Linked DNA regions of Notamacropus eugenii. The protein of the gene in region 1 purifies or fractionates together with the protein of each later gene. This does not show direct contact. Links are inferred from orthologs where the notes say so. Each region holds a gene or a part of one and is shown in the gene's direction. Other genes may lie near its edges. The genes, in order: RB1, HDAC3, E2F4 and TFDP2.

The links.
Region 2: the proteins of RB1 (region 1) and HDAC3 purify together in Homo sapiens (affinity purification with western blotting; 3 studies listed by BioGRID). This does not show direct contact. The link is inferred for Notamacropus eugenii from reciprocal best matches to the Homo sapiens genes RB1 and HDAC3.
Region 3: the proteins of RB1 (region 1) and E2F4 purify together in Homo sapiens (affinity purification with western blotting; 10 studies listed by BioGRID and IntAct, with this or other methods). This does not show direct contact. The link is inferred for Notamacropus eugenii from reciprocal best matches to the Homo sapiens genes RB1 and E2F4.
Region 4: the proteins of RB1 (region 1) and TFDP2 purify together in Homo sapiens (affinity purification with mass spectrometry; 4 studies listed by BioGRID and IntAct, counting the BioPlex papers as one, with this or other methods). This does not show direct contact. The link is inferred for Notamacropus eugenii from reciprocal best matches to the Homo sapiens genes RB1 and TFDP2.

The regions. Positions count from the first base shown.
Region 1 is NC_092876.1:108,201,830-108,210,040, reverse strand, and holds the start of RB1 (retinoblastoma-associated protein), read left to right. Parts: upstream 1-4,975; 5' UTR 4,976-5,227; coding exon 5,228-5,355; intron 5,356-8,211. UniProt on the Homo sapiens protein: Tumor suppressor that is a key regulator of the G1/S transition of the cell cycle. The hypophosphorylated form binds transcription regulators of the E2F family, preventing transcription of E2F-responsive genes.
Region 2 is NC_092872.1:369,000,888-369,008,755, reverse strand, and holds the start of HDAC3 (histone deacetylase 3), read left to right. Parts: upstream 1-4,662; 5' UTR 4,663-4,694; coding exon 4,695-4,749; intron 4,750-5,002; coding exon 5,003-5,085; intron 5,086-6,399; exon of another isoform or gene 6,400-6,499; coding exon 6,500-6,642; intron 6,643-7,464; coding exon 7,465-7,546; intron 7,547-7,677; coding exon 7,678-7,734; intron 7,735-7,850; coding exon 7,851-7,868. Other genes in the region: RELL2 (RELT-like protein 2), read right to left, coding at 633-1,008, 1,338-1,523, 1,885-1,951, 2,035-2,100, 2,824-3,082. UniProt on the Homo sapiens protein: Histone deacetylase that catalyzes the deacetylation of lysine residues on the N-terminal part of the core histones (H2A, H2B, H3 and H4), and some other non-histone substrates.
Region 3 is NC_092872.1:695,050,187-695,058,063, forward strand, and holds the start of E2F4 (transcription factor E2F4), read left to right. Parts: upstream 1-4,825; 5' UTR 4,826-4,938; coding exon 4,939-5,079; intron 5,080-6,632; coding exon 6,633-6,742; intron 6,743-6,936; coding exon 6,937-7,098; intron 7,099-7,877. Other genes in the region: EXOC3L1 (exocyst complex component 3-like protein), read right to left, coding at 24-645, 1,259-1,478, 1,693-1,856, 2,448-2,493. UniProt on the Homo sapiens protein: Transcription activator that binds DNA cooperatively with DP proteins through the E2 recognition site, 5'-TTTC[CG]CGC-3' found in the promoter region of a number of genes whose products are involved in cell cycle regulation or in DNA replication.
Region 4 is NC_092877.1:330,407,310-330,414,784, reverse strand, and holds the start of TFDP2 (transcription factor Dp-2), read left to right. Parts: upstream 1-4,263; 5' UTR 4,264-4,425; exon of another isoform or gene 4,426-4,438; intron 4,439-4,544; exon of another isoform or gene 4,545-4,795; intron 4,796-7,475. UniProt on the Homo sapiens protein: Can stimulate E2F-dependent transcription.

The DNA.
Region 1 (8,211 bases):
AAAAGTTAAGTGACTTGCTCAGGGTCATATAGCTCATAAGCAACTGAGACTAGATAAGAATACAGGGCTTTCTAATCCAAAATACAATACAATATCCGCTGTGAGAATAATAATATTAAAACTTAAAGGGGAGGATCTGAACTAGAACTAAGATTTCCTGACTCCTAAGCCAGTGCTCATTCCAGTATAACATGTTATATGCACACTGGCTGAGCTGTGATCTATAAACTCCTATCATGTAGGATAAATTTCTAGTATACAGCCTAGCTTGTGATTTCTTTTGTGTGTAGAAACTTAGTTCACTGATACAGATCAGCAACTTATCTGCAACCTAAGTCTAAGGGAGTGGTTTGGGGGCATGGGAAGGCTTAGCATTTTCCCAGGAGTAATCCTTGTGGTTGTGTGTGGTTGTGGTGTTTGTCCTTCATTTTCAAAGAGTATCATGACATCAGGGAGATGACAACATGACTTGCAGCTGACTTTGATTTGAGGGAGGGCTGTGCAGTCACCAGCCTCACTTTCTCCTCGAGAACTATCTGCGTCCAATGGCCAGATATAAATCAGGATGACTGGAGATGGCCCAGGATGCAGTGGGAGACCTTAGCCTTTTTAAACTTTAGTAGGTGTCAGAAGTGGGACTTGAACAAGGAACAAAAAGCCAGTTTGACTAGATGTGTAGTGTGTGTGTGTGTGTGTGTGTGTGTGTGTGTGTGTGTGTGTGTGTAATGTTAATGAGAGTTAGATCTTCCCCCACCCATGAATGGGCATTACCTCACCCAAGGTGAGTACCTAAATAGACTTTGGCCTAAAGGGGCCAAGGTCTCCAGTGCACTCTGGGTCATCTCCAGTCATCCTGATGAATATCTGGTCACTGGATTCAGATGACTCTGGAGGAGAAGTGAGGCTGGTGACCTGCACAGCCCTCCCTCACTCAAAAAACAAAGTGAAGTGCAAGTCATGTCATCATTTCTCTGATGGCATGGTCTTCTTCGGCAAGGAAGGGCGAACACACAACTATGTATGTCTTGCTTATGGTCAGACAGTTACAAGCCCTGTCTGTTGGTCTTTATTTCTCTGCTTGTATTTGCTCTGTTGGTGAACACAATTAAAGTAGATTGTTGACCCCTCAAAAGTCACTTTCCTTTTAATAAAGCAGATCTAAAAATCTGTACTATCAGGCCATCCTGGATGTGTCAGGGTGCTTGCTGCTAGTGTGTGTGTGTGGTAATGGGAGTAATATATAATAAGTTAAGAAAGGTTGGTTGTAGACATATTGTAAAACATCTCTAAATACCATTATCCATTATCCTTTATTTACTATTCAGTACCAGGCCACACTATGATTAAATTTCAGGTCTGGATCTTCTCCTCTCCTCAGGAAGTCTAGCAACTTTCATTCTGTCTAAGAATGAATTGCTCAAGGAATTAAAATTCTATAGATGATAAAGCATCTATATAGGACAGAGGATCTTGGCAAATAGTAGAAAAAAGCTGTTGACTTCCTTAAGAGAGGAGTTTTACCCTCATCAAACGGCCTTCAGAATAAAGACAACATTCGTAATCCTTCAAAAATGACCAGTAAAGTGTTCCTTAGATTTAAGGTGGTATTTCTGACAAAGCTGGGTACTCAGAACATGGCTCCTACATCCTCTCAGGACTCTAAGGGTAGCCTTGAGGCACTGGAGGGTTCTTTTCCCAGGTGCTACAGCTTACAAGCCCCAGCTAGCTTGTTTCCCTGCCATGGTTGTTAGATGATCAAAATATGTAACCCTCAGGGACTCTGCTGATATCCTAACAAGACCTGCTTAGTGTTGCCGATGAGAAGTCATGAGTAAAATGAAAAAGAGAACTTGCCTTGAAAGTCCTAGGTTATAGTCTCAGTTCTGATGCCACTTCTATTATCATATGGGAATTTTAACCTCTGCATCATTTAACCTGTGATCTTATTTCCTTATTTCTATAATAAGGAAAATACTTAGACTGTGTATCTCACAGGATAGATGTGAAACAATTGCTTTATAAACCTTAACACTATAGCTACAGGATTATCTCAATTTATGCATGTTGCACATACTCTCGAGCTAATATCCCAATTCACACTCACACTGACAAGGTTGGGTGCTCAGAACATGACTACTGCATTTAAAGCTCTAAAAGGGGTTGGGGAGGGAAGGGTTGGTTTTCATAATGCTGTAGCTAACAAGCCTCTACTGGAGTGTTTCCCAGCCATTATTGTCCATTGATATGAATTAATCAGCCAGACTTAATTAGCTTTTAGAATGGGGTATTTTACATAGTACCTTCAAATATCTATGACATACTCTTCCACAATTATAAAGAGAGGGGGAAGTGGGTTAAAGCTTAGAGTACCTGTGATGGAATAACTCACTGCTCCTGGAAATCCTTCCACTAGAGTCTGCATGATGATACCCTTAGGTATCAGATATCTTTTTCTGCTGGGACTTTTGATGAGCCATGAGACCACATCCAATCTGTCTTGGGCTTGAGATACAGAAATTGCCATCACCTGATCCAGGAATGGTGCTAGAATGCCAATGGGAAGTCCTTTGGATCTCTGGAGTTCTTAAGATTCTCCTCCAGCCAAGAAGGAATGAGGAGAGAAGACCAAGATTAACACCCAGGCTCAGGGTTCTGTTCCTCTCCTCTTTTCCTTTCATTCCTACTTTTTCCATTTATGATACCAAGAGTTATTTGTTGGTGACAATCTCAATAAGATTAAGTAGAACTTTTTCCTTTTATTCAGTGGTCAAATGGGACATATTAAGGGGCAGGAGGTAGGGAGAGTAGAAGGGAAAGGCAAGATGAAGCAGGTTAATAAAAGAAAAAGTCTGACAGTTCATGCGTCAGTTCCTGGAGGGTAGAAGGCAGAAAGACGAAGAGCAGTGGCATGATTAGATAACCCCCATGAACTCACTGAATTTTCAAGTGGGAAGAGATCTCAAAAATTCATCTGGCCCTACCCAAGCAGTAAACAGTGGTTAAATGACTTGTCAAAGGTCACAGTTAGAATTCTGGTTCCACTCTCAATCCACTGCTCTTTTCACTACACCACACTGCCTCTCCTAAACCATTCCATGGTTCCCTGCTTATTCCAGGAAAAAGTCCAAAGTCTTCAACTTTGGGACTTTGGCATTTATGGACTATTTCTGCCAGGTCTTGCCCTATTCCCTTAAATCACACAGGTACTCCCACTTCAAGCATTTGTCCATGGTATTCTAAGGCTCCTTCCAGATCTAAATCTGTGCTTCCCACAAAGGATTCCTCTTCCCCTTTCTTCTCTAACTAACCATATATCCTACCTCTTAGGACCATCTAAAATCCTACTTCTTTCATAAGGAAACCCCTGGTGACAGTTCCCTTCTTTGACCTCTTACAATAGTTAGTACATGTTCTAATTCATTCAGGTACTTAAGCACATTATAAGGAAATGAAATTATTAAGTTGTTTAATGTTATCGAATCATAGATTTAGAGCAGGAAGAGACAGACATCAACTGATCCAACTCTCTCATTTTACCAAGAAAGAAAGAGAGAGGAAAGGAGGGAGGAAGGAAAGAAGGAAAAAAGAAAAGAAAAAAGGAAGTTTTCATCCAGACAAGTTATGGGGCTTGCTCTAGATCAACAGGTGGGTTACGTAGCAAAGTCAGGATTTGTACAAACTACCAATCTTGAAAGCTCCACGTCTGAAAATACTATCTCCTGGACTCCCTTGGCATGCTTTTAAGTACTGCACACATTCAGCTAAAATAAAGTGAGTGTTGCATGCTGAAAGATCATGGCTGGGAGGGACATAAGAAAGCCATTCAGCTCCAAACCCTTCATTTTACAGATAAGGAAACTGAGCTGAGAGACATTCATTGATCTGCCTAAGACCTCAGGAGCAGTAAGCATCAGAAGTGGTTATCTGAACTCAAGACCTCTGAGTTCAGAGCCTGTGATCTTTCTACTGAACCACTCTACTATCAAATCAAGTCCTAATAATGATAGTTAACATCTGTATACACTTACTATGTACTGGGAGGTGTGCTAAGCACTTCACAATTAATAAGGATGATAGTAATAGCTAACATATATATGCGTGTGTCTCTCTCTCTACATAGACACATATACACACGTATAGATAGATAGATAGTGTTTACCATATGCCAGACAGGAGGCAATTAGGTGGCTCGATGGATTGAGCAGAGGGCCTGGAGTCAGAAAGAAGTGAGTTCAAATTTGTCCTCATACACCTAAGAATTGTGTGACCCCGGGCAAGTCCCGTAACCTGTTTTTGTTTTTTATTTTCAGTTTTCTCCTCTATAAAATGAGCTGGAAGAAGGAATGGCAAAGCACTCCAGTGTTTTTGCCAAGAAGACCCCCAATGGGGCCACGGACAGTTAGCTGCCCACGACTCAACAACAACGATATATCCGGCACTGGGGTAAGGGTAAACGATAACCCTGACATAGCGCTCGCTGAGTGCCAGGCCCTGGGGAAGAGCTGAGCAATGATCCCCTGGGATGCTCACGGCCACCTTGGGAGGCAGCTCGTGGATTATCCCTGTTTGACAGTACAGGGGCGATGACTCGCCCAGGGTCACACTCCCTACGTCTGAGGCTGGAGGGGCTCCTTTACGCATGCGGGCTCCTGCGTCCACAGCACGGGGCAGTCAAGGAGCCGCGTGCTCGGGAGCACGACGGCGCTGCAGGTAACCAGAGGGCAGGCCCAAGCCGGGCCTGCTCAGGGGAAGAGGCCGGCGCTGGTTGCCGGGGCTCCGGGCCTCTCCGTCCCGATAGGTACCCCACCCCCAGCACGGGGCCGGGCCCCACGACACGCTCGTGGCCTCGCCGCGGCCGGCACCCGCAGCCCCACCCTTCTCTCGCCGCGGACCTTCTCCCTTCTGCCTCCCAGGCTCGGCGGGCGGGCCCGGGAACTCGGTGGGACTTAGCGCGCAGGAGCGGAAGTGACGTTTTCCCGCGGTTGAGCGCGGAGCTTTTGGTGCCGGGCTAGGGTTAGAGAGGTGGGTGGAGACAGGGCTCTCCCGGTTGTTTGGTTGTTTTCGGAGAACGTTTAAAGTTTTCTAACGGGAGCCGAGAGAGGACGAAGGGCGTCTGGGGCGGCGCGTTCACTTGGGAAGAGCGCGTGCGCGCGTGTTCCCCTTTGCCCCTCACCTCCCAACCCCCCAGTCGCTCCTGCCAGTCAGTCGGTCGGTCAGTCAGTCAGTCATGCCACCCAAAGCCCCTCGGAAACCGGCTGTTCTGACCCCGGAGCCGCCACCGCCGCCGCCTTCCCCTCCCCCTCGCCAGGAGGAGCCGGAGCCGGATAGCGGCCCAGAGGACCTGCCGCTCGTCAGGTGAGAGAGCCGGGGCCGGAGCCTCTCCGGGGAGCGGGGCACCCGGCAGACGCCGCGGCGTGACCAGGGAGGGGCCGGCTGCCCGTCGAGGCGGCCTGCGGGCCCGAGCCCGGAGCGGGGCACGAGCCCCCGGCGGCCCCTGGGCCGGCTGACAGCTGCGAACGCGGGGCGCCGGGCCGCGGGGACGGGGCTTCCCGGCCGCAGCCTTGGCCCCAGGTTGACAGGTGGGTGGGGCGGGCCGGGGTCCCGGGGAGAAGGAGTGACAGGTGGCTTCTTTCTCTCTCGGGTGGTGGAGGGTGGGGGTGGTGACTGTGCTTAGTCGGGGAGAGAGCATTGTTTCCTCTCCAGAGATGCCCACGGATCCTGTTCTGTTCTGTTCCGTGCGGTGGAGTTCGGAGATTGTTGGGGTCCGAGCGCACCCTGATGAGATACATTAAGAAACCCCACGACATCCCCCTCCCCCACCCCGCCCCCTCCACTCCTAAATGGTGTGTTGAATGCGGGTGCGCATATCATACTTTGTCACTTCCTGTGTAATAAAGCTAATAAAAAGTATTGTTTTTACCATCTTGCCAGAGCTTAGTGTCGGGGTGGTGGTGGTGGGGGACAGTTACTGTGGGAACTGCTGAGAATGAGGGTCCACCCTTCTGTAGTGTTACCAGACTAATGAGAAGTCTAGTGAGATCTGAGCCCCGGAGTATGGCGATGCTGTAAGGTGTGGAGGTGGGAAATGAGAAGTTATTTGTAGTGATTTTGTAAGAAAATTACTCATTAGTAGCATTTTTTTTCTTGGTCCATGTTTTAAACCCTTGTGAAACACTTTCAGTGATGTAATTTACAGCACAAGCGCTTAAAACGTAAAACTGACAAGGGTTGTTCTATGAATTTCGTCTTTATTTTTATTTTTTCCCCAAATTTAGATGAAACTCCTTGCATGTAGATCTGCATCAGCGTGTCAAAGTTGATTGATTTTAAATTTTTGGTGGGTAGAGACATTGATGTCTGATATCGAGTATTGTTTTGTAAGATGTTCAGCCATGACCAATCACATGGAATTGTTTACTTAATGAAATCTTTATATGAGCAACCCTAGTGGATACAGTAGAATATTACAGAGTGGTATGTCATGTGTATGTTACAACTTGTTGGTTGTTTTTCTTTTTTGTAGCCATTCTTTATGTTTGATATTGAAAAACATATATTTAGTATGTTTACTCTCCAGTCAGTCAGCCAGCCAGTAAACATTCATTAAGACCAAGCATGCTATGTGTTGGGAATACCAACAAAGCAAAAGGCAATCCCTGACCTTAAGGACCTCACCATCCAATTGGGGAGACTGCATGCAAACAACTAAGGTACAACAAGACCTATACAGGACAGATTGGAGATCCTGGACAGAAGGAAGGCGCTAGCATTAAGGGGAATTGGAAAATGCTTTTTTGCATGAGGTGGGATTTTAGTTGGGATTTGAAGGAAGCCAAGATTTGTTTCTACTTTGTGGTTATGGATCTATTGAAGGGCAATGAATGCTAATATATACAATTTAAAAAAAAGTCAACTTGATGTTATTGTAAGGTCTTACCATGAAACTGGGCATATAGACAGAGTGGACAGAGAGTGCTGGGCCTGAAGTCAGACTCATCTTCCTGAGTTCAAATCTGGCCTCAGACATTTATTAGCTGTGTTACCCTGGGCAAGTCACTTAACCTTGTTTGCCTCAGTTTCCTTATCTGTAAAATCAGTTGAAGAAGGAAATGGCAAACCACTCCACAGTTTTTGCCAAGAGCAACACAAATGGGGCAACTAAACAACAACAGATATATTATTTGGTTTGTGTTTTTAATAGGCTCATAGAAGACATTTTGAGTGCTTTAAATGTACAATTAAAATATATAAGTAGAAAGAATACAAGAGGTCAGATTTCAGATGGTGATGTAGTAGAAAATGTCGTTCTTTATTCAGCTAGTCAAGTTCTGGTGGTTTTCCTAACATTAGCAATTCCTATTTGTCATGACAGACAATATACAGAACAAAGGTATTATAGAAACTGCTGAGAAAACTGGAAGGCAGTTAGTGAAAAAATTGAATTTTTGACAAACAACTTGTATCATGTATCAAAATGAAGTCAAGATGAACATGTGACCTGAATATAAAAGATCAGGTCATAATAAAAATGAATAAAGTGAGATCACTTATTTTTCAGAAGGAGAATACTTAACCAACAAGGTATTGAGGAAATTAGAGAAATTAAAATAGATGATTTCAGTTACATGAAATTGAAAAGCTTTTGCAGAAAACAAAAAAATCAGTGTAACTAAAACAAGATGGGAAATTTGTCTTTTGGGAAAAAAATCATTGCATCCGATGTGTCTTAGAATAGTCTTATTTTCAAGATATACACAGGCAGACTCACACACACACACAACAGAATCATTCTACAGTGGATAAGTTGTCAAAGGATATAAATCAAAGATTCTCAAAAGAGGTGCAGATTATTAACAACTATAGAAAATTGCTCTAAATTAATAACAATAAAAGAAATCACACAATATTTTGAGTATTATTTTTGAGGCACTCTGTTAAGTGCTGAAGATACAAAAACAAAAGTGAAACACAAATGTAATTTGAAACAACTATGAACTTTCATGTTACACCCAGAAAATTCTAAGGTGAAAATAGTTGATGTTAGATGGGATTTGGGAAGGCATGCACATAATACACTATTGCTGGAGCTGTGAATTGGTCTGTCCATTGCAGAAAACAATTTGTAATTATGCTAAGAAAGTGACTAAAAGGACCATACCTTTTGACCTTGAGGTCCTACTCCTAAGGAGGTTAAAGATAGAAAGGACCCAT
Region 2 (7,868 bases), on another chromosome or scaffold:
TTGACCTGTCTTAGGCTGGAGATGAAGTGGAGGGAAGGGATTGAGAGGCTGGGGACCACTCTCTTCATTCCCAGACTGAGATAATATAGCCCCCAGGAAGAGGGGTTGTTTTGTTTTCCTGGAGGGCAATGCTGTCTCAGAGTGAGGAGAGGGCTTCATGCTTGTCCCTCTTCCCTGCCCAGTCAGCTACTCATCCTTGCAGTAGGGAGTGAAGATAAAGCTTGGGGAAAAGGAGAGGGAAGGGGATAGTCTTCCTGCCTCCTCTAGCCTTTCTCCACCCCTCCCCCTCCACTCTACCTCATGTTGCCCTTCCCTTCTCAATGCCCCTTGGAGCAGTGGTGCCCTTAGCCCCTCCCTCCTTAAAATCAGCTTCATAGGCTGAAGTTTTTTGTTTTTTACCTTGGGGTGCCCGCCCTTCCCTGGAAACAAACACATTTTGGGAGGGCCAGACTCACCTCACACTCATCTTGAGCCACCTGGCGGTAACACCTGAGATAAAGAAGGAAAGGGCTACCATAAACTCTCTAACTTCATCTAGTCAGAAAACTGGACCTACTAAGCAGGGACTGTGGCTTTATCCAGTGACTCTGCCCACCCTGACTTCTCTATACACACATCTGATTGTTGCCTACCTGGAGATCTGAGGCATCCAGTTTGGCTGGCTGTCCATTAGTTTCCCTTCTGGTCAACACTGGCCTTGTGTCCCTCTCTCTGGCTGCTGCCTCTGAGTCTTCCATGGCTCCAGAGGGCTTCTCAGTCAGAAAGGGGACAAGGCTCCTTTCTCTGAGGCCCCCATTCTGTACAGGGGAACTAGATAGGATGCCAACCTCTGGCCCTGATGCTGGAAGTCTCTCTGTGGCAGGAGTTCCAGTCCCAATCTGCCCTTTCCCAGAACTCTGGCCACCCCCTGGGTCCTGCCCACCACTGAAGCCCCAACTTCTATCGATGGGTGAGCCATCTCGATGTTCATGAAGCCCAAGTCTCTTCTCAATATGTGTCACCCGGAACCTGGAAGGGAAGGGAATATGCTGTGACTCAGGATTGCTAGAGGTTCTCTGAACCCTTTCTCCCAACACTGCCCCCAGCACTCCCATTTACTGACATTTGATAGCTTCTGAAAGCAAAGGAATCCTCAGCACATAGATGAATCAACCCCAAGAGTACTCCCTGGCTGGAAACCCTCCTCTTCCCCTACCCTCCAGAATAGGAGGGGAGTAATACTAAGTAAGGAAGCCTGGATAAATCTTCCGGTCAGGCCAACTGTCTTAGAAAGATTTACCACCTGAATGGGAGGCCCTGAATGCTGCCCCCCTCTTCTTTGGGTGCTCTATCCACACCTGCCCACAGAGAATACTGTGGTCTCTCCTGGCCTAGTACGGCCCTTGCCCTCTTTGGATCGGCCCTGTCGGACGAGAGGTGGCCTCTTGTTTCGGCTGCAGTGGATACAAGGGGCTGATGAGCCCAGGTGAACTGTATGGTGATGAGATGGAGTCCCATCCTGGAGGCTTGGAGCACCATCAAGACTGAAAGAATAAAGGAAAATCCTTTCCACTGTGCCCTCTGTGCATCCATTCGACACTCCCCCCCCCACCCCCCATCTTTCTATCTGCCCTATTCTTTCTCCAAACTCTGATTCACACCAAGGAACTAGTGACAACATTTTGTGACTCAAGGCTATTTAAATCCAATGAGGCTACATTGTGAAGTCAATAACTAGCCTAAAGAATGAATGATGGAATTGAGACAGTGATACTTGGATAGCCTGGTGCTCCTCAAATCATAGTGTCCAACTAATTAAGTTGTGACTTTAACAGGGGCTAGTTGTTAAGGAGAAAGTGCTGTCCTGATCAGTATTTGGGGGAATTCTCCACACTTCCAGCTCACCTGGACAGCTGTACTGTTGCCTCACCTTCACTGTCCCCAAGCATCTCTTTCAAGGCCTCAGCATTGGCTGTAAAAGACAAGTGGCAAGAGAATGTCATGGATGTAGGAATGGAGCAGGGGACTGAACAGCAGATGCCAGTGAGCACTTGCCTTCATTTTGGATGATGCATTGGACAATCCTTTCCACTGTGTCCTCATTCACATCCTCATCATCCGCTGTGGAGGGGAGGAAAGGGGTCAACTTCAGGGAAAGAGAGACTGGGGCCAACGCAAAGTCACTGGCCTTTGGATTGTTCCTTTGAGTTTCATGACCACCTTATTTGGCTTCCTGGCAGTTCTAGTGGTTCAAGATCAGTGACCACCATAGGATTACAACTCCAAAGCCATAAAGGACGTTAGAGGTCATAGAGTACAATCCCTTCATTTTATAGATGGTAATATCGAGTCACAGAGAACTGAGGTGGTAGGAGATTGCCAAAGTTTCACAAGGAGGCCGTTCTCTTCCTCCTGCCTCCTTTTCACTTTCCCAGGGGTTCTGTTTCAGCCTACTGTATAATTTCAGGAGTAATGAACCAGCAGGTCCCCAAAATACTTCACGAGACCTCAGTCACTGTGATTTTTGCCTTTTAGTTACTGAACTCACTGCACTCTATCCCCCAAACTAAGCTGCAAAAACTCCCTGACAGGTTAATGAAACATGAACTGTGAGTTATGGATAACAGGGGAGCAAAGGGGGATGGAAGTCGCTCTGGAGGAGTCATCTTCCCACCAGGGGTAGGAGAGAGGAAGAAGAGACCTGGATAAGGTGCACTCAGGAGTGTTAGTGAAAGGTGCAGGTGTGTGTGGCACATACAAGTGTGTGATGGAAGGACGTACAAGGAAGAAAATGAAGGCGGCTGGTCCCTGGTGATGGGGCTCCCCCTCTTTTCCCACACTTACGTGGCTGGAGCTGGGCATCCTCGGGCTCTGAGCCTCTCGATGTCCGACAGCGATAACCCTTCTTCTTGAGTACATGGCAGATCATGAACCCCACGAGGCCCATGAGAAAGAAGACCAACACAAGAAGGAACAGCATGTACAGCCCATGCTGGGGCTCTGGTCCTGGTTGCAATTCCGACATGCGGCCCTGGGGGGCGGGCCGAGCCGGGGTCAGGGCCTCAAAGAGGGATGGAGTCAGGGGGAGGGCGGTGAATTCCATGCTTGGACCCCTACCGGGAGTCCCCCCAGGACCCTCCAGTAAATCCAGAACCCCTTGCCTTCTCAGCCCAGGAGCTGTCCAGGGATTGGGTGCTAGTCAGCCAGGCCCCGGGGCACCTGGTCAATAGGGGTTGCAAGTTGTTTTCCATACTCCTAATCCAACCTTCATCCCTCTTCCCTTTGATATTACGTGCCTTCCTTCTCCCTGCATAAACAAACCCTACTTTCTCCCCATCCCCATTCCTCCCAAGGACACTGTCACTGAAGACTGGACGGAGCTCTATGATGCGGTCCTGGGCATAGTCTGAGTCAGCGCTGGCCCCTCACTTCCTCCACAACCCCAGGTCAGGTCCCCTGAAACGCTCCTTTCCTTCAATACCCCTCAGTTTGTCCCACCGCTCTCCAACTCCTGGCTCCTAGAGACATTCTGGACTCCCCTCCCTCTCCAGAATGCACCCCCCCCCCCCTCAATTCCCCTGGCCCAGCTGACCTTGTGGTCTCTGCACGGCCCCTGGGGATGCGGTATGTATGTTCGGCTTTGGCTCCGGCAGCGTCCTAGTACCTCTCAGCTTGCCCTGGGAGCCCTTCCCGAGAGCATCCTCCTCCCCCCTTCTCCCCACCCCCCAGGCCACCTCACCCGCTCCAGCTCCGGCTCCGGGCTGCGGCTGCTGGTGCCGCGGCGGGCTGGGGGTAGGGGAGTAGGGGTACAGGAAGGCGGAGGATAGGGAAGGAGGGAAAGCGGAAATCGAATTGGGTGCAGGCGTCCTCTGGACTTTCAGGGTTGGGGATGGGAAGGGGATGGGGGGGCCTCTACCGCAGCCACCTCCTAGTCCCGGCTGCTCTCTCTCCGGCTGTGCTCCCTGCGCGGGCACGGGAATAAAGGGGGCGGAGCGGCAGGTGTGTGGGACGGAGTGCGTGCGTGACACCACAGTGTCTGACACGGCTAGGTCTCCGTGTCAGTGTGTCCCACTCGGGGCGTGGGTCTCTCAGGCACCTTGGCCACCGCTGGGTGATATGCCCCCTTGTTCTGGTTCTTGGGTACAACCCGGGAATCTGGGAGCCCGGCAGGTGGGAAGGTGTCAGTTGCCCTTCGGGCAGGATACAGACAGCTCCCTGCACCCTAGGACAGCCTCTCATCCCCAGTGCCCAGGTAGAAACGCGGCGGCGGGATGTGAACCCCCTACTTCTCAGGGTGAATAGGAGGGGGGATGGGATGCCCACGGACTGAACGATTAATAAACCTCTGTGGAATTAAAGGCTTGGAAAATGGGGAACTCTGAGATGCTCAGCTTCTCGGGGACCGATTGTGCACTTCAAGTTCCGCGGATACCCCGGGAACACCCTCCCTCTGGGGCTCGGCCCCACCCTCCCCGCGGTGTTCAGTCACCCCAGCCAGCAGAAGCAGCCAGCCTTGAGGGGGCGGAGCTACCGGAGTCAGGGGGCGTGGCACCTCTGGGCCGGGGCGGGGCCTTGATTTCCCCCTCCCTTGAGCCTTGGAGACCCCAGCGACCTCGGATTCCGCAAGGGGCGTGGCGTCGCGCGATGACGCAGAACGCACGGGCCTGGAGGCGGGGCTGGAGGGCGGAGGCGCGGGGCCTGGTCCCCCTGGTACTATGGCCAAGACGGTGGCCTATTTCTATGACCCGGATGTGGGGAACTTCCACTATGGTGAGAATGGGGAGGAGAACCCCGGGCAGCGAGGTGGGGAATGGGGGAGGAAGAGGGCGGGGGAGTAGGGGGCACGGGCGCGAGCAGGCTCCCTCACCTCTGTCCCCCCACCCCCCACAACCCGGACCAAGTGGAGGATTGGGAGGTGGGGGTGGGGTGGAGCGAGTTCCCTAGGACCCTGGGGAGGGAGGATCCTGGTTGGGCCCTTTGGGGTGGTGACTCGGAGACCCTTCTTTACCACCCCTTTCTCCAGGGGCCGGTCACCCCATGAAACCTCATCGTCTGGCCCTCACCCACAGCCTGGTGCTGCACTATGGACTCTACAAGAAGATGATTGTGAGTGTTTCTCCTCCATCCTCTCCACCACCCCACGATTGGAGAGGGGGTGCAGTGCGGGAGGGGAGTGTGCACTTGCACTTGGGGTGCAGGCTTAGAGGAAATGGGGACAGGGAGACCCCTTCATCCCCTGAGTCATACATAGATAGGTTAATAGGGGTTAGAAAGGTTGTTAATAATGATTGGAAGGGATGTTAGAGATCTCTCTAGTGAAACGCCCTTCATTTTATAGATGGGAAACTGAGGCCAAGAAAGGGGAAGTTAAACAGGTAACCTATGTAGAAAGCCTGTGATTTGAACCAAGATCTTCTGACTCCAAATCCAACATATATATATATATTTTTTTACAATATCACCTCACCTCTCATGCTGTCCCACAGTATCCTTTTATTATCATAGGAAGATGCCAGAACTTTAGTATCCCAACAGAATGAGAGGATACTTTGAGTATGCACCTGTACAAGAGTTAACTCAGCCCTTCCGTCTTTCTGTTTTGGTTTGTATGGCCTTAGGAGGACTCCCTCCAAGTTGAGAGTTAAGGGGCTTGGGTTGGCTACTCATATACTTGGCACCTCTCTGTTCCCCCCCTCCAAAAAAGATACACCCCAAAATCTACCACAGCACACACAGAACCTTGTCTCTGTGGCTACTGGCCAAGGCATATTTCTTTGACATGGTTAGGTCATGGAAGATGAGAACTGAGACTGTTCCGACTCAGAATGGTATGCATATGCATGCCGTTGATGGTCACTTTTAGGATTACTGTTAAATATAAAATCCATAGATGGGTTTGCTTAGAATAGGGTTACTAAAATAGATTGGCTACCCTGTGGAGTCTTTTGATATATATATACTGAATTTGTTTTTCCAGTATTTGTAGAGCTCTGTATTTTGATATAAAAGAGAAAGCATTTACCTTTAGAGAGTGTTCTAACTATTGGAAAAGACATAATCTCCAATTTCAGAAAGCTTCCAATTAATTTGGGGAATCATAACAAAGAGAATACAATAATAATGTACTATATTTGTATATTGATTGATGCTTTTCAAAATATTTTCATGTACAATGTCACATTTGAATCCAGAGGTGATCGGACAGCAGGACTATGGAGAAGGACAGGAAGGAGTGGGGGACCGAGGAAAGGGTGACATGGGAAACATGAGAATGTGGGTGGGGATAAATATAGCAAAATAGTCAATGACTGAATTCAGCATCTTTGCTTTAGCCTCAGATTGATCTTTTTTTTCCATGGGGAGACCTCCATGTAAGAGGGAGTGTGTCTGTATGTGTGTGTGTGTGTGTGGGTACTTGGGTGGGAGTACGTTGGAACCTCTGAGGTTGGACTGAAGCAGTCAAAGCCTCCTAATTTGGAACTAATCCTGCCAAAGTTCAACATGTTTTCTTTATTCCAAGGTCTTCAAGCCATACCAAGCCTCTCAGCATGATATGTGCCGCTTCCACTCAGAGGATTATATTGACTTCCTGCAGCGGGTCAGCCCCACCAACATGCAGGGCTTTACTAAGAGTCTCAATGCCTTCAATGTGGGGGATGATTGGTGAGGGAAGGTCAAGGGACCCTTGATGTGGATCAGTGTTGGTCATTGGGGTGGGGAATTAATTGTAGAGAAGAAGGAGGGAAGTTATGGGGAGAAAAAGACATAAGGTACTGTGTCAAATGTAATTGGGGACACACAGAAGTACAGTTTTGAACTTGAGGAATTTATATTCAAGTTGGGGAGACCTGCCATATAGGGTAAGTAGTACAAACTCCCAAACTTTTTAGCTTGGCCTTGAGGGTTATTCCTGGTCTTTCTTTTAAACTGACTCTCCAACTTTGTCTTTTGCTCCTCCCCTACACGAACTGCCAACTGATTTTCTTTTTTCCTCAATATGCCATGCATATTCTGCTTTGCCCATGTCCTTCTACCTATTTAAATTCTACCAGTTGTTTAGCTCAAGTTCCAAATCCTGCATGAAGCCTTCTGGTGGCTGCAGCCTCATTATTTCTCCTTCCTCTTATTTCCTATAGCATTTTTGGCTGTACTATTGACTTGACACTAATTATATGCTATGTTATGATATCTCTTAAATTGTTCTTCATTTTTCTTTATGTGTGTCTTTCCCCACAGTGCCTAGAATAGTGTTGGGCAAATATTAGGTGTGCAATAAATAAATAACATTCTCTGTGTGTGTATATACATATATATACATATATACACACATACTTTTTTTTTTTTAATAAAAAGACGAATGAATAGGATGGAAGGTAAAAGAAAGAGGGCCTAAATTGGATTAGGTGTATTGCCTGAGAGGGTGTTCAGTTTCTTGAGAAAGGAGCCAAGGCTCTGAGTGATCCAGCCATGACCTCTGTCTTACAGTCCTGTGTTCCCAGGCCTCTTTGAGTTCTGTTCCCGTTACACAGGTGCTTCCCTGCAGGGAGCTACACAATTGAACAACAAGGTAAGCATATCCTTGTCCACCCCCATTCATCCACTGCTATGGTATCCACAACCACTGAGCTTTTGCCCCATCCTCATGTTCCCTGTGCCTTAGGTATGGGGAGGGCTATGATTTGGATGTTTGTCCTTTAGATCTGTGATATTGCCATTAACTGGGCTGGAGGACTGCACCATGCTAAGAAGTTTGAGGTGATGGAGGGAACTAAGGGTATGGTGGGCATGGGCTGCTGAGGGTGGAGGCCAAAATATGGTGAGGGATGTAGGGGTGAAGTGCTTCTTCCCCCAAAGTCACTCTCCTGCTGCAGGCCTCAGGTTTCTGCTAT
Region 3 (7,877 bases), on another chromosome or scaffold:
TCCACCCTTGGCCTGGCACTGACCCTGGGTAAATATGCAGGGCCCAGTGCAACAGTGTGAAGATGTCCTGGGTGCCCAGGTCCTCATGGTCCAGAAGCTGCTGCAGGTGCTGGCAGAGGCCCTGGTGCAAGGTGTGGGCCCACAGCTTCACCACTCTGTAATCTCCAGGGCAGCAGGGAGCCACCAGGGCCTCTGCCAGGGCCAGTTCAGCAGGCAGAGCTTCTTGAAGAGTAGCCAGGTGTCCTGCCAGACCTGGAGGGCCAGGGGCTGGTCCCTCAAAGTAGGCTTCCTCAAGGGCCTTCCGAAGGGCCCCAAGGCAGCACTGGCGCCAGGCTCGGGGGCGCCCAGGGGATGATGACTGGAGCTGAATATCCCTTTCCTCCTCAAACTCAGCCACTCGAACTGCAGCTACTAGCAGGGCTGGATCATCTCGTGCCAGCTGCCGAGCTGAACCCACCACCTTCCCCATGGCTAGGCCCAGCTCCTCCCCGAGAGGTGTCAAACCTTCAAAGAGGGATAGCTCAGGTCTCCCAAGTGGGTCTAACACCTCATCCCTTAACTGCTCCAGCTGCCGTAGGACCCCATAGGCCTCCAGGAATCGATTGCCTTTGATCAGGGCCTGGGTTCTGGCCACTGCCTCAGGTACTGAGGAGAGAAGTAGGAAGCAGGAGGTTAGGAAGCAGTCCTGAAATGGGCTGGACATCAGGACTTCTTCAGACCTGTCCTGAACTAGCTATGTGACTTCAGGATATTTACGTCACTTCGTTTCTCTGCGCCTCAGTTTTCTTACTGGTGAAATTCAGTCTTGCAAACATTTATTAAACCCCCATGTGAAAATGAAAATAACATAAAATGAAATTTAAAATAATAAAAAAAACAAGGAAACAAAACCAAACCTCAAAGAACCTTAGGGTTCTTCAGACTTTGTAGCTGATTTACATGATCACTTTGTGGATCAGTCATACATTAGAAAAGTACAGACTTCTTTTCCCCAAGCTCCCTCATTGGTTCAGTCTGGAAAACTGACCGACTGGGTAAGGGGTAAGTGGCCTGACCAAGGTTGGTGCTCAAGGGCAACATGGGCCAGTAGAAAGAACACTGGATTTGAGGTCAGAAGATTTGGGTTTGAATCCTAGCTGCACTATCACTTAAGTTCTCTGGGTCTCCATTTTCTTTTCTGCATTGAATCAGGTGAGCTCGAAGGTGAGCCTCTTCGTCCCTACCCCTGATGAAACCCAGGAACATTATGGGACCTCACCTGCCAAGAGTTGGGGCAGTAGGAGTGTCACCGCCTGCAGCTGTCTATGCTGATTGGCCAGCTCCCGGAGAGGCCCCAGGGTGTGGGCAACTTCAGCCTGTTTCGAGAGTGCCTCCTGGGCCCCAACCAGGGCCTCCCCAGCCTCCTGGACCTCTTTCAGTGCCAGGCCTAGTTGCTGAAGGCCTGTCTGCACACTCTCCAAGTAAGACTGTACAGTTGACTGTGGGGAGAGAGCTTGGAGAGGTCAGTGGTAGATGGCACCCTGCAATGGAGGGGGCAGAGAAGGTCCCTCTGAGCATGATCTGATATGGGTGGGGCACGGTCGTTTGACAGAATTAGGGAAGGGAGAGCCTAGGACAGAATGGGAATGACTGGGACTAGGGATGGATGATGACTTTTAGGGACCCCAAATTCAAGCTTCTCCCTGGCCCCACCTTGATTCGGGATTCGATGGAGCACATTCTCTGGGCTTCTCGGCTTCGGTATTGGTCCAGCCTGGTCAGCTGCTTGGGACTGTAGAAGACGCCTGAGGCCCATTTCAGGGCTGCCCCTCTGGCCAACCTTTCAGCCTTCTCTAGTTCTGGCCACTCAGAGTCTGCTTAGGTGGATAGGGGTGGGGTGGGGGGAGGCAGGAAGAGGCTTCAGCCACAGCTGTTTCCCATCCCTTGTCCCTAACAGGAAGTCACTGGATCTGGGGCCCTGACCTGGTCAGTCTGCCTCTTCTAACACTCCAAGTTTGCCCAAATGCTGAGGTGGGGGTCGGGTTTAGTGGTACTTTATAAATGCACTAAATGCCATATTGTTATGGACTGCAATGTGGTCCATATCAAAGTATCACAGTATTTAGGGCTGAAAAGTCATTAAGTTCAACCCCTCATTTTACAGATGAGAAACTGAGGCCCCAAGAGGTCATGTAAGTTGCTTGTCTAAGATCACACAGCTAGTAAATGGCATGGCCTACAAAAACCTAGGTTCTCCATCCTCTTTCCACTCTGCTTTGCTACCTCTATTGGGTGGTAAGTGGCTGATTGCCCATGCCTGGGAAAACATCCCCACTACACACACTCTCTTCCCCACCAAGGCTGTCTCCAGATGTTCAGAACTTCTCTCAGAGGTCATCCATCCATTCCTCCACCCATCCATCCACTCATTCATCCCAGAGTGACCCCCAGGGGGATCGGCTCATTACCTTGGGGGGCTCCAAATTCCTGCTCCTCCTCCGTATCCATGCCCATGGCTTAGTAAAGGAAGGGTGTGTGGGGTGCTAGGCCTGATATTGGAATTGAGCCTAGCTGTTGGGGGGTTGGGAGATGGTTCAAGCTTGATTATGGAAGCTTGGCTCAGCTGAGCTTAAAAGCCAAAGCGTATTCTTCTCCAGGCAGGCTCCTCTGGGGCAGCACGGTTCCTGCCCAGCCTACTCAGGATATGGGAGGGAGGAGTGTGTGTTGGGGGGATGGGGGTGGAGGAGGGACTGAAGGTGAAGGGGTGGGCACTGGAGCTTGTGGGAAATGCCCTGTGTATGATCCCTAATGTCTAGATAGACAAGAGAGGTGGGAAGAGCGCTGAGTACCAGCCCTAGCCTGGGTAACCGCATCATAGGGCAAGGGCTGAGGGTATTGCTTGTGTATACTACAGCTACACCCTACAGCCTATGCCCCCTCCAGGGAAGTGGCAGCATCCTAGCCCCTTAGCGCCCTCCAGTGTTCATCAAAGTCTGGCTTTCTGACCGCCCCCCCCCCAACTCTATGCCCTAGGGCACCCACCTCTTCCCTTCCCAATGGATCCCAGTAGATTTATGCTTTCCATTCTCCACCTTCTTTACTTCCTTATGTTTTCCTCCTGGGGCTTAGTGGGAGTCAGGGGTATAGGAAATAGCCAGGAACTAGAAGAGAAAGGGAGGAGAGGGGACAGATAACACTTCTGTCTCCATCCCTCTCTGGTATGTGAATCCTTTCTCTCCCTGCTTGTGGTTTCCATTGCAAAAGATCTTAGGGATGATTATGCCTCTGCCCCTGTTGGGGAGAGATCTCAGAGAAGGCAGGGTGGAGTCATCCAGCAGCAGGTGGTGGGTATCATGACAGGTAAGTTTGGATAAATTTAGTGGAACAGAACATGAGAAGTGGCCTGTTATGGGCATGGGTCAGACTGTATAGATGCCTCAGCCAGGGCTAAGGGGAGTGCCTCTTTACCCAGCTGCAGAGATGCCCCAAGAACCCTTTTCTACCTCAGCATAGAAGGAGGATAGCTGATCTTTACCTCCATATGGAGTGCCAGTATATTCTTCTCTCCAGCAGGATGTGGGTCAACCAGCATTTATTAAGTACTTAACTCTGTGCCAAGCATGGTGCTAATCACTTGAGAAACAAAGAAAGGGGAAAAAAAAAATCAGGTCCCTGCCCTCAGGTACCTTACTTTCTAATGCATATTCCTAAATGTATATACAAGACATGTGCCATATAAGTGGAAGGGTGTGAATCTTGACTGGCGGGAGCATGGCATCATGGCCAGCCCCCAGCAAGCAGACTTGGGCAGCAGGACCTGTGAATATGGTGAGAGGTCTGGGACCGCAGAATTGGAATGTGGACTGAGAGGAGGGTAGCCAGAGAGATCCCAGGGACTAGGGCAGGGGTCAACAAACATTTCATTAAGGATATCCACCGTGGCCCTCAGAGATGATGGCTGTGTGTGTTTGTCCTTTGTTACCAAAGAAGACCATGCCATCATGACTTGCACTTGACTTTGTTTTGAGTGAGGGAGGGCTGTGCAGGTTACCAGCCATAAGACTGGAGGTGACCCAGGATGAGGCAATGGGGGTGAAGTGACTTGCCCAAGGTCACACAGCCAGTGAGTGTCAAATGTTGGAGTTGAGATTGGAACTCAGGTCCTCCTGACTCCTGCACTGGTGCTCTACCCACTGCACCACCTAGCTGCCCCGGGGGGATGGTGTAGGAGAGAGGTGGTTGTGGGAGCCACAGGTAAGTGGAAACTTTCTAGGAGCTGGAAAAAAGCATGACACCAGCTAGCACTTACATGGTGAGTTGCAAAGCACTTTACAAACCATATTTAATTTTCTCACAACAACCTTGGGAGGCAGATGCTATTGTTATAATATCCATTTTACACCTTAGGAAACTGAGGCAGGCCGAGGTAAAGCGACTCGTGTAGGGTTACAAGGGTGGTAAGGGACGGAGGCTGCGTTTGAACTCAGGTCTTGGTGGCACGGTGCTGGAAACAGTAGGTGCTTAATCAGTGCTGCTCGACTGACTGACAGAGCCCCTGCTGCCTCCAGTCTACTGCATCATTTAACTGCCTTCTGCCCACCCCGCCCGTGACTCAGGCGGTCTGACCCGATGCCCAGGAGTTTCTCGCCAGATCTGGTAGTTGACGAGTCTGGGTTGTTTTCGCCCTCCGTGAGGGCTGGGCTTTTTCCTACGACCCCTGGAATTCTGCGACTCTCCGGGAGAAAGGGAATCGCACACGGTCCCTGGTGGCGCCAGACGCTAGGAGGCCTACCGGCAGGGGCGCACGCGCGCACGCGCAGGCCTAGAGCTGGGCTCAAACGGAAGTGCAGAGCGGAAGTGTTGAGGGGGCTGCCGGCCGGGCACTGGCGAGCGGAAGCGGAAGTGGCGGCGGCAGGCGGCGGGCGCCGGCCTGGCCTGGGCTTAGGGAGGCAGGCTGCCATGGCGGAGTCCGGGCCGCAGGCGCCCCCGCCGCCGCCTCCCGGGACCCCGAGCCGGCACGAGAAGAGCCTGGGGCTGCTCACGACCAAGTTTGTGTCGCTGCTGCAGGAGGCCAAGGACGGAGTCCTCGACCTGAAACTGGTGCGGACCCGGCCCGGCTCCGAAGTGGGGGACCCTGGGGAGAAGCGAGGGCCGGGGCCGGACACGGGGGAGAAGCGAGGGCCGGAGCTGCACAAGGGGGAGAAGCGAGGGCCGGGGCCGGACACAGGGGAGAAGCGAGGGCCGGGGCCGGACACGGGGGAGAAGCGAGGGCCGGGGCCGGACACGGGGGAGAAGCGAGGGCCGGGGATGCACCAGGGGGAGAAGCGAGGGCCGGGGCCGGACACGGGGGAGAAGCGAGGGCCGGGGATGCACCAGGGGGAGAAGCGAGGGCCGGGGCCGGACACGGGGGAGAAGCGAGGGCCGGGGATGCACCAGGGGGAGAAGCGAGGGCCGGAGCTGCACAAGGGGGAGAAGCGAGGGCCGGGGCCGGACACGGGGGAGAAGCGAGGGCCGGGGATGCACCAGGGGGAGAAGCGAGGGCCGGAGCTGCACAAGGGGGAGAAGCGAGGGCCGGGGCCGGACACGGGGGAGAAGCGAGGGCCGGGGATGCACCAGGGGGAGAAGCGAGGGCCGGAGCTGCACAAGGGGGAGAAGCGAGGGCCGGGGCCGGACACGGGGGAGAAGCGAGGGCCGGGGATGCACCAGGGGGAGAAGCGAGGGCCGGAGCTGCACAAGGGGGAGAAGCGAGGGCCGGGGCCGGACACGGGGGAGAAGCGAGGGCCGGGGATGCACCAGGGGGGAGAAGCGAGGGCCGGGGATGCACAGCGGGTACCCAGGTGAGCGGCTCCCAGAGTCATTGGAAGCAAGTTCTCCTCGTCGCCACCTCTCATCTTTCAAGTCTCAGCCAAAATCCCACCTTGCACAAAAAGCTTTTCCCGATCCACCTTAATGCCTTCCCTCCGCTCATCGTCTCCAGTTTGTCAAGTTCGTAGCTTGTTCCTATGTAGTGATTTGCGTGTCCTTTGAGGGCAGGGACTGTTTTTTGCTTTTTCTTAGTACAGGGCTTCATAAATCCTTGCTAAGAGAGGAGGGAGGTCCAAGAGACGAGGGTCTTGGGGGAATCCTGAAAGGTGGAAATTGGACCAACAGCCTAGGAACAGCTGGAGGAAGAGATGAGGGAGTCAGATCAGAGCATGAATGGAGGAGATCTGAACAAGACAAGGGAGAACTGAAGACTGGGGGGGGGGGGGGAGCAATGACCAGCATGGAGAGAGGAGGAACCCCTGCAAAGTGCAAAAGGCAGGTGAAGGAGGGAGGTCTGGGCGAGACCATCTGCGGAGATGCCCTTCTTTTGCTGGGTCTCTAGAAGAGAAGCAAGCTGGAACAAACCTGGATTTTGGAGCACGGGGCAAGAGAACTGTACCATGCCTGGCAGGGGAAGGTGTTTCAGGCCCATAGGAGAGAGTAGGGCAAACCACAGGTACAGAGAGACATCAGAAGTAAGGAGGAGTTTGGAGACCAAAGTTAACTTCCTAAGATGTCATGTGTGGCTCTGGGCTGCACTGAGCCTGCCCTGCTGAAGTCTGTTGGAGTTGGTGTTGGCTTAAACCGTGGGGACAAATTGAAGCATCTCTCTTTTCTTCCTCCAATAGGCAGCAGATACCTTGGCTGTTCGGCAGAAGCGGAGAATTTATGACATCACGAATGTCCTGGAAGGAATTGGGCTGATTGAAAAGAAGTCTAAGAACAGTATCCAGTGGAAGTGAGTACTGGGGAAGGCAGGGCAGGAGAGATTCTCATGAGAGACTGAGGAGCCTCATTGAGTGAGACAGGTGGGAGGAAGAGGGTTCCTTCATGGAGTGTTGGACCCTGGATGGATGTCTACGCTAGGGGCAGGTACCCTGGGGAGGTAGGTACCATCTCACTCCCCTCTCCCCACTTGGGGACTGTACATAGGGGTGTGGGACCTGGCTGTAACACAAGGGAAATAGCAGACAAGCTCATCGAATTGAAGGCTGAAATTGAGGAGCTTCAACAGCGGGAGCAGGAGCTGGACCAGCACAAGGTGTGGGTGCAGCAGAGCATCCGGAATGTCACTGAAGATGTGCAGAACAACTGATATCCTTCCAGGACCTCCCTCTTCCTCTTTTCCTTCTGTCTCCTCTTCCCCACATTCATTATCCTGGCTCAGATTTAATGGCTGCTCTTCAGGGTTTACAGAGCACTTTTCTTAAAACAGTCCTGTGTGGTTGGTAGTATAAGAATCATCTACATTTAACAAAGGGGAAAATTCTGAAGCTCAAGAGTTGAGCCCCTTTGGTCAAAGCAGTAAACTGTAAGTGTCCAAAGTGTGATTCCCAGCTAGATCAATGGTGTCAGAGCTGCTAGGCCCACAGATTAGGAAGACAACCATCTAGGCTGGGCAAGGCAAGGCAAGAGCTGGTTCTAGTCGTGGAGAGATACAGTCAGGCCGCACCCTGAAGGGTTTGGGGTGTTGGTGAAGAAAGATAGAAGGCAGCAGAATAGTTTTTAAAAAAAGAACGTAAACTATAGTAATAATGCTAATACTAATGGATCCTGTTTTCTGGGGTATAAATACAGATGTAAAATATTTTTCCTACAATTCGGTGAGGAAGGTAGTAAAAAAGCATTATCTCTATTTTACTCATTAAGAAACTGAGCTCCAGAGCAGAGAATTGACTTAAAAGTTTTAGCTGGGATTAAAAACGAGGGCTCCTGACTCCAGGACCATGTGCTTTCTACCACATCATGCGTTAGGAATCCCTCAGTCATGGCTGGCACTAGCTCTCAAGTGCTGGTCCCAGAACCAGTCCCTTTCCTGTCATTCCCTTGGAGTGTGTTGCATTCCCTGTGCCATTGGTCTAATTTGACAGCCT
Region 4 (7,475 bases), on another chromosome or scaffold:
ACTGGGTCTGTATCCAAAAAGAGTTAAAAAATAAAAGGGAAAAGGACCTACATGTAGGGCAATATATATTGTGCACCAGGCACTGTGCTAAGAGCTGGGAATAGAAAGGCACACTTGAACTTTTCCTACTCTGAAAGCACTTGAATTCTAATGAGAGAGATGACATGGCTGTTTCTAAATAAATACATAACATGGTGGTTTCTAAGCATATACATAACACACTGAATACTTGAAGTATAAGGTAGTTTTGTGAGGGAGTGCCTGAGCACCTGTGGGGATCAGGAAACATTTCATGTAGATAGTGCTGATTTAGTCATCCATCAATGATGGTGAGAGTTAGTGAACTGTGGAGGGGAATCCCAGCAGAATTCTGCTTGCAATATGTTAAGTTTGAGATGTCCATGGAATACACTGTTTGAAATGTCCAGTAATTAGTTGGTAATGTGGGTCTGGGACTTAGAAAACAAAAAGGAAGTGAAGAAACATTTTTGTTCTCATAAAAAAGCCCTGGGCCAGGACACATATGAGCTGACTAGTAGAATATATTAGTATACATGTATACTTTATTAAGCATATATTATTAAAGTATATTTTATACTTTATAGGTAGTACACTTTATGAAGTGTAGGCATTATTGATGTAGCTAGATGGTACCATGATTCATAGAGCATCAGGCCTGGAGTCAGGCTGATTCATCTTCCTGAGTTCAAATCTGGCCTCAGACATGTGGCTATGTGACCCTGGGCAAGTCACTTCACCCTATTTGTCTTAGTTTCTTCATTTGTGAAATGAGCTGGGGAAGGAAATGGCAAACCACTCCAGTATCTTTGCCAAGAAAAACTCCAAATGGGGTCACAGAGAGTTGGATACAACTGAAAATGACTGAATAACAACAATAACATTATTGATACCTATCTGATTAATTTTAAGTAGATTTGGTTAGGCATGGATAATATAAAATAAACACTGAAGTTCTCATCTCTAGAATCATGGTGGAATGGACAAAGTACGGATTTTGGTCTGAGAAAGCATAAATTTTTATTAGTGGCCATGTGAATTTGAGTAAATCATTTCCTCTCAGCCTCATTCCTCATCTGCAAATGAAAATATTTGTACCACTTGCCTCAACAGGTTGTGAAGAATGTAATAAGTAAGCCATATTGTACTGTGTAAATCTGAGTGATGATAATGACATAAAAAAATCTCTCTTTTCTTGTCCCATTATATAATTACTGATTAAAGCAATGAGGAGGAAAAGAGAGCAATGGCTATTAAGGCAAAAGGGAAAAAATCCTTTTTCATTAATTGTGAAGCTAATTTTACCATCACTGGACCAAAATTGGCACTAGGTACCTATTTAGGAATTTTTAAATGTTATATTAATTTTCCTTTCCCCTCCCCCCAGAAAAACTTCCACAAGTTACTTTTTCCTGAAAGGTTTTCAGGGTCTTTTTTTTAAAAACTACATTAGTAAGTTGTCCTTTATCCTGGAAGGAACTGACTTTCTGTGGAACTAGCAACTACAGGTTTTTATGGTTTACTCTGCTTAGGTCATGGAAATTCATAGGCAGATCACATCACTGATACACAGTAGATGGAAATTTTGTTACATTCCACTGTTCCTTTTATTTTACATTGTGTCTGAGTAAGTTATATGAAAGATATTTAAGTTAGTTTTTTTTACAAGTTATTTTGCTCAAAAGAATATTGGCTTTAGCAGATTTTGAATGAAATTGAGGCACAATCTTAAACAGTAATCATTATCTTCTCTAAGCCTGCCTTCTCTTCTCCCACACTCATTTCCCCTTTTCATTTGAAGACACCATTGGACTCCCAATTATCTGGGTTATAATCTCAGTTATCAGCCCTCATTTCTAAATCCTCATCAAATCCTGTGGATCTGACTTCCATATCTCTTCTATTCTTTTTTTCTCCAAAGTATCAATAGTCTTGTTCAAACTTTTGTCATACTTCACCTACACAATTGTTAAATTGTTAGCCTCCTAATTAGTTTCTGTACTTCCAGTCTCCCATCTTCAATCCACTCTCCACAAGGATTCCAAAATAATCTTCCAAAGGTACCAGTATGGCCATGTCATTCCTTTGCTCAAAACCTTTCAGTAGCTCCCTATGACCTTTGGTACAGAATGCAAACTCCTCTGCCTGGCATTTGAGGTTCTCAACAATTTGGTTCCAGTCCTACAGCCTCATTTCACATTATTCTCCTTCTTGTTTTATGTAATATAGGATCCAGCTGAACTAGCCTATTAGCTGCTCTTCAGATGCAACATTCTATCATCTGCCTTCATGTATCCACACAAGCCGCCACTCATATTTGCAGTTCACTCCTTATCCATACCCCTCAGAAGCCTTATTTTCTTGCCATCTTCTCTGTGAAGTGAGCCTATCCTCATCCAGTGATTAGGGGTCTCTTCCTCCTTGAATTACTTGTGTACATGTTGTATTCTCCCAGTAGAGGAAACAACAGTACTCTCTCAGTAGAGTGTGTGTCCTGGAGGTGGGGTGGAGGTCCAGGGGTATATATTCTGCATCTCCATCATTTTGCATAGTGTCTTTCACATAGGGACATTAAAAATACTTGTATTGAATTGGCTTATAAATGTTCTAGTTTTTGTTAATGAAGCAATGATTGCTTTAGGATTTGTGTATTTAAAAATTATTCAAGGTGACATTAATTTGCCATTATTTAGCTTTCAACTCCCTTGACTTTACCTGTTTATTTCTCTTCTGAAAGAATGCTTAGCTCTGAGACCTATGTTTTAAGAGACATATTGATAAACTAGAGTCGAGAGGGTAACCAGGATAGTGAGGCAAACTCAAAAAACTCAAAAGCAAATCTTACTAAAACAAAAACAAAGAACAGACTGAAGGTTTGTTTGAAGGTGGTGTTTAATCTGAAGAAAAGAAAATATGATAGATGTGATCAGTTTTCTAACATCTGAAAGGTTGAGAACCAGGAATTAACTTGCCCTGGAGGGTAGACCTAGGAATTTACAGAGAGGTTGATTTCAGCTCAACAGAAGGAACACGTTTGTTATGCTTAGAGCTGATGAAAATGGAATGGCCAGTCTCTTGCAGTGTCTGAGTTATCCATTCCTGGGGACTAAAGGACCTCCCATGGGGACTGTTATATAGAGGGAATTCATCGGTGGGAACTTGGTCTGCCTGGCTTCTGAGGTCTTAAAAATCTGATTCAGTTACTCCTGATGTTGTCCTCATGCCCTTTCTTGGTATGAGGAAAAATCCAAAGTCCATTCATCACTGCTTCACCCAGTCTGATTTACTTACTTCCTTTCAACAACAATTGAATCCTGTCTCTGGGGTTCCTTATTTGGATTGGTTTTATGTAGGTGCCTCATTCCAGGCTCCCAGGGGTGTGAATGGATTGGTATGATTTGAGAGAAGTTAAGAAAGGTGGAGGTCTCCTATTGTATGCTGGGCCATCTCTAGCCTATTCTGATCTATCTCTTAAATCCAATTCACTTACAAGTCATGGCAACATCTTCCTGATGTCATGGTCCTCTTTGGGAATGAAAGTTTTACCTGCTCAGATAGGGAAGTTTGGTGGGAAGGAAGAACTAGGTCTTGGATGTATAATTCCTTGCGGACTCACCCTGCCATCAGAAAGTGAGCTCACTGAGGGCAGGACCATGGTTTCCACCTTTCTGTGCATCCCCAGCACTTAGCACGTAAGCAGACTTTCAACACGTGCTTTCTGGCCGCTGGGGGTTTCAGCAGAGGATAGACCCCGGCCTCAGGATGTCCAAGCCTGCCTCAGTTTCTCCATCTGTCAATAGGAATAATAATTCATAATAAGAGCATCCTTCCCTGGATGGCTGCGAGGATCACAGGAGATGTTATTTGTAAGGCACTTTGCAAGCACTCAAGGGTTACATGTGCGGGATTTGAACTAGTCTTTCCGACTCCAGGCCCGGAGCCATCTGTTGCGCCTCCGGCCCTTTCCTTGGAAGGGGCTGGAATTTCCTGCAGAAAATCTGGAGGCCGGGCTAGCCACAGGCCACGCTCCTTTCGGCCACTCCCCATGGGCGGGGTTTGATGCAAGCCCCACCCCCAGAGCGCTTTTTCCCTCCTTCCCCACCCCTCCCCACCCCTGCCACGGGCTCCTCCCCCTCCCGCTGTCACCTCGTGGCTTGGGCTCGGGCGGGACGTTCGGCCCCGCCCCCCTGCCCACCCCACCTTTCCCCGCCCTCATTGGGAAGCCAGGGGGCGGGGTTTGTTTACACCCCGCACGCATCGCCAGCCAGACCAATCGGCGGGCAGCAGCGCCTGACGTCACGCGGCCCGGTGTCCAACCGGAGCGCGCAGTACCCAGCCCCCGCCAAAGCTCGCGCGGGGGAAGAGAGAGGAGAGTTGATCCGGGCCCCGGGGCCGACCGCCCGCGAGGTGAGAGGAGCAGGTGGGCCTGAGCCGGGCTTGGGGCGCGGCAGCTGTTCCCGACGCTCGGCGAAGGGGGGCGACGAGAGCCCGGGGTGGGAGGGGGAGCAGGGCCGCGCACGGGTGGCGGGGCGCACGCGCGCGCGGGCGGGCACGAGGCTGCTGGAGGCTGCGTGCGCACGGCCGGCCGGTCTCGCGGGCTCTCGAGCCCCGGCGCCTTCGCCCCCGGACCCCCGGGAATGAGTCCGCAGACCGCCGGCGGCCCCAGTCCAGCCGAGGAGCTGCTGCGGCAGCGGCTCGGGGTAGCTCCCTCGCCCCCTTCGCGTCGTGGGCCGGACGCGAGCCCCTCAGGCCGCCTTCTCCACGGCTACGCCGGCAGGTAACGTCCCCCTTCCCCCCAGCGCTCGGTCCTCGCGTGGTCGCGGCAGCGCTGTGGGGTTGCCGTGGGTGGGTGGGGCGGGGTCCGAGGAAGTGAGCCCCTGGCTCTCACCCCTCCCTCATGACTGGGGAACCCCCCACGTGCCCCTCTCGAGAGGCTTCCCCTCTTTTATTTCCACGCGCGCTGTCCCTTCCGTCCCCGGAGCGGGACGCAGGAACCTACGTGTTGGTGCTTACGCGGGGGCCGAGAGCTGGACCGGGACACCCTCCCATTTGTGGGGGGCACCCCCGGCAGGAGAGCGACTTTGCTGGCTTTTCGATGCCTTCTGGGGTGAAGGACCCCAGCTCAAGATCTTGTAGCTCCTCCAGAGGCACTTCCCCACCCGAGAATCGTGGAGCGTCCCATTTCTCGTGCTGACCACCAGTCGGAGGCATTTATCCAAACTGAAGCTTTCGCTTTGTTCCCCCCTATCCTTTCCTATGCTTTTAAATTTAATTCCTGCGTTCACCTTTTTCTCAACAACTGTAATTCCCCAGTGGTAACTGTTTTAGAGATCTATAGATTGGACCATCTTTTCCACGGAGCTTTATCAGAGAATTCAGAGCTGGGAGGGACCTCAAAGGTTATGTATCTTGTCTACCCCCTTTCCCATGGAAAATGAATCAGATGTTATCAATATGTAAACTTGAATTCCCTTTCCTTTTTTCAGGGTCTTTGAGGTCTCCCAAAATATCACTGAACCTTCCAAGTACTTCAATCCTGTGTTCTTCCTCTCCCTGAAAAAGTTAATAGCTTAGTTTCTGGGGTTTTTTCTCCTTCTATAAACTTTAGTCTTATAGTCATAATCTGATCTCTTTTCAAATCATTTCCTGTACCATTTATCATTTTTGCTGGTCTCTCAGTTAGAGTCTGATAGAGGTTTAGAGAAGAAGGATGATCTTCAGATCCATTCCCTTTTACAGATGAGGAAACTGTTGCCTTGAAAGATGAAACAACCTGCTTGCTCAAGGTCGCATGGCTTAAATTGCTGCTAGGATCTTCACTCTTCTGATTTCAAACCTTGTATTCTTTTCTTCTTACCAGGCTGCCTCTAATCTGGAAATAATAGATCATGTCATAATTTTAAAGGTGGAAAGAACCTTAGAGGTCATCCATTCCAGCTCCCTCGTTATACAGATAAGAAAACTTAGGACCAGTGAATTGCCCAAGGTCACATAGGGAGAAAATGACAAAGCTGGGATTTGAATCTAGAGTCTTTGATTCCAAATCCAGTGTACTTTCTACTGTTATGTGTTGTATCTAAATCCTGTGTCAGCTAAAGAAAATAGTAGAATTAATTGTAGAATTTATAACTTGAAGGGACCTTTGAGATCATCTAGTTTACCTTCCCACTCCCATGGAAAAGGAACTTAGTGTTATTTATCAGTGTTAAAATACTATAAGATCAGAATCAGTGATGTTCCCAAATAGCAAAGCAAAACCTTATGTTGGAAAGCAAAATGCAGATTGTTTCTGTTATTTGTCCTAGATTCTCTTCGAAGTTGGTGTGCTGTTTTTAAGACAACTGTTATCTTAAAAGAGACATGTATAGTACACATTTTTGTGGATGTGTATCTTGTATTTCATAATTATGAAATAGTGGACATTTCTAAAGTGTTTTGACATTTGCCTAAGAAACTTTAGGCTTTGTAGATTCTTTTGCAGCCAAAACAATTAAGTTTTTGCTATGTATTACATGATCTTATGCCTGGAACCAGATTTTGGTCTTAATGTCTTTACTTAGGTAGCAACCTTTTCTCTGATTTAGGACTACTGTTTCTATTTTAAAACAAATCCCGTAAGTCTCACAGACTCAGTAAATTCTTCTTCAATTTTCTCTATTGATGTTAGGAGCAAACAAATTTGTTAGAAGGAAATTATCTAGATCGAGCCCCTCATTTTACAGATGAGGAAGTTGGCCCAAATAGGTTATAATTGCTTAGTCAGTATCATGCAGGTAGTATTATGTTATTGTAGCCATTTAATTTGTATCTATTTTTTAATAGGGCTTTCTGGACGCCTGTAGATTTTTCCTTTGCAGCCAGAATTCTTAAAGCCCTCAAATATGAACTTAAAAACAATCAAGAAGTGAGATACACAGATAAAAATCTCTGCTGCCTTAATAAATGGAAAGTGGTTTCTTATTACCAAAACTATAATAAATAGGACTGATGATAGTGATGTAATTTAGATTAGAAAAAAGCATTTACATTTGGTACCCTTGAAAATTCAAAAGGTTCTTTCATTAATACGAGTTTTATAACTTGCATTTGAAATTTTTTTCCCTCATAAAGATACATGTCCTTGGTTGGTATTGGTTTTGTAGAACACTAGCTGATCATATCAGTTCAATTTTGTCAGCAGCAAAAGCAGTAAGAATTAATATTAAGTTTTGGAAGTGTGGGTTCCAAGCAAATTTCTGATGCGGGTATCATCTTAAATACTTGGGGTATTACTTTAAATCCTTTAAGTGTCATTTTAAATACTAAGATCTTAGAATATGTTTGACATTTTTGAAAAGTGACAAGTTCATTCATTTTTTGAGTCTATATGTATGTAACTTTTTTAAGTTGAGAAGCATGATTTGAAGAATGTAGATCAGTTCTAGATTATTCATGCAGTTGTTTATGGCCGAATCATC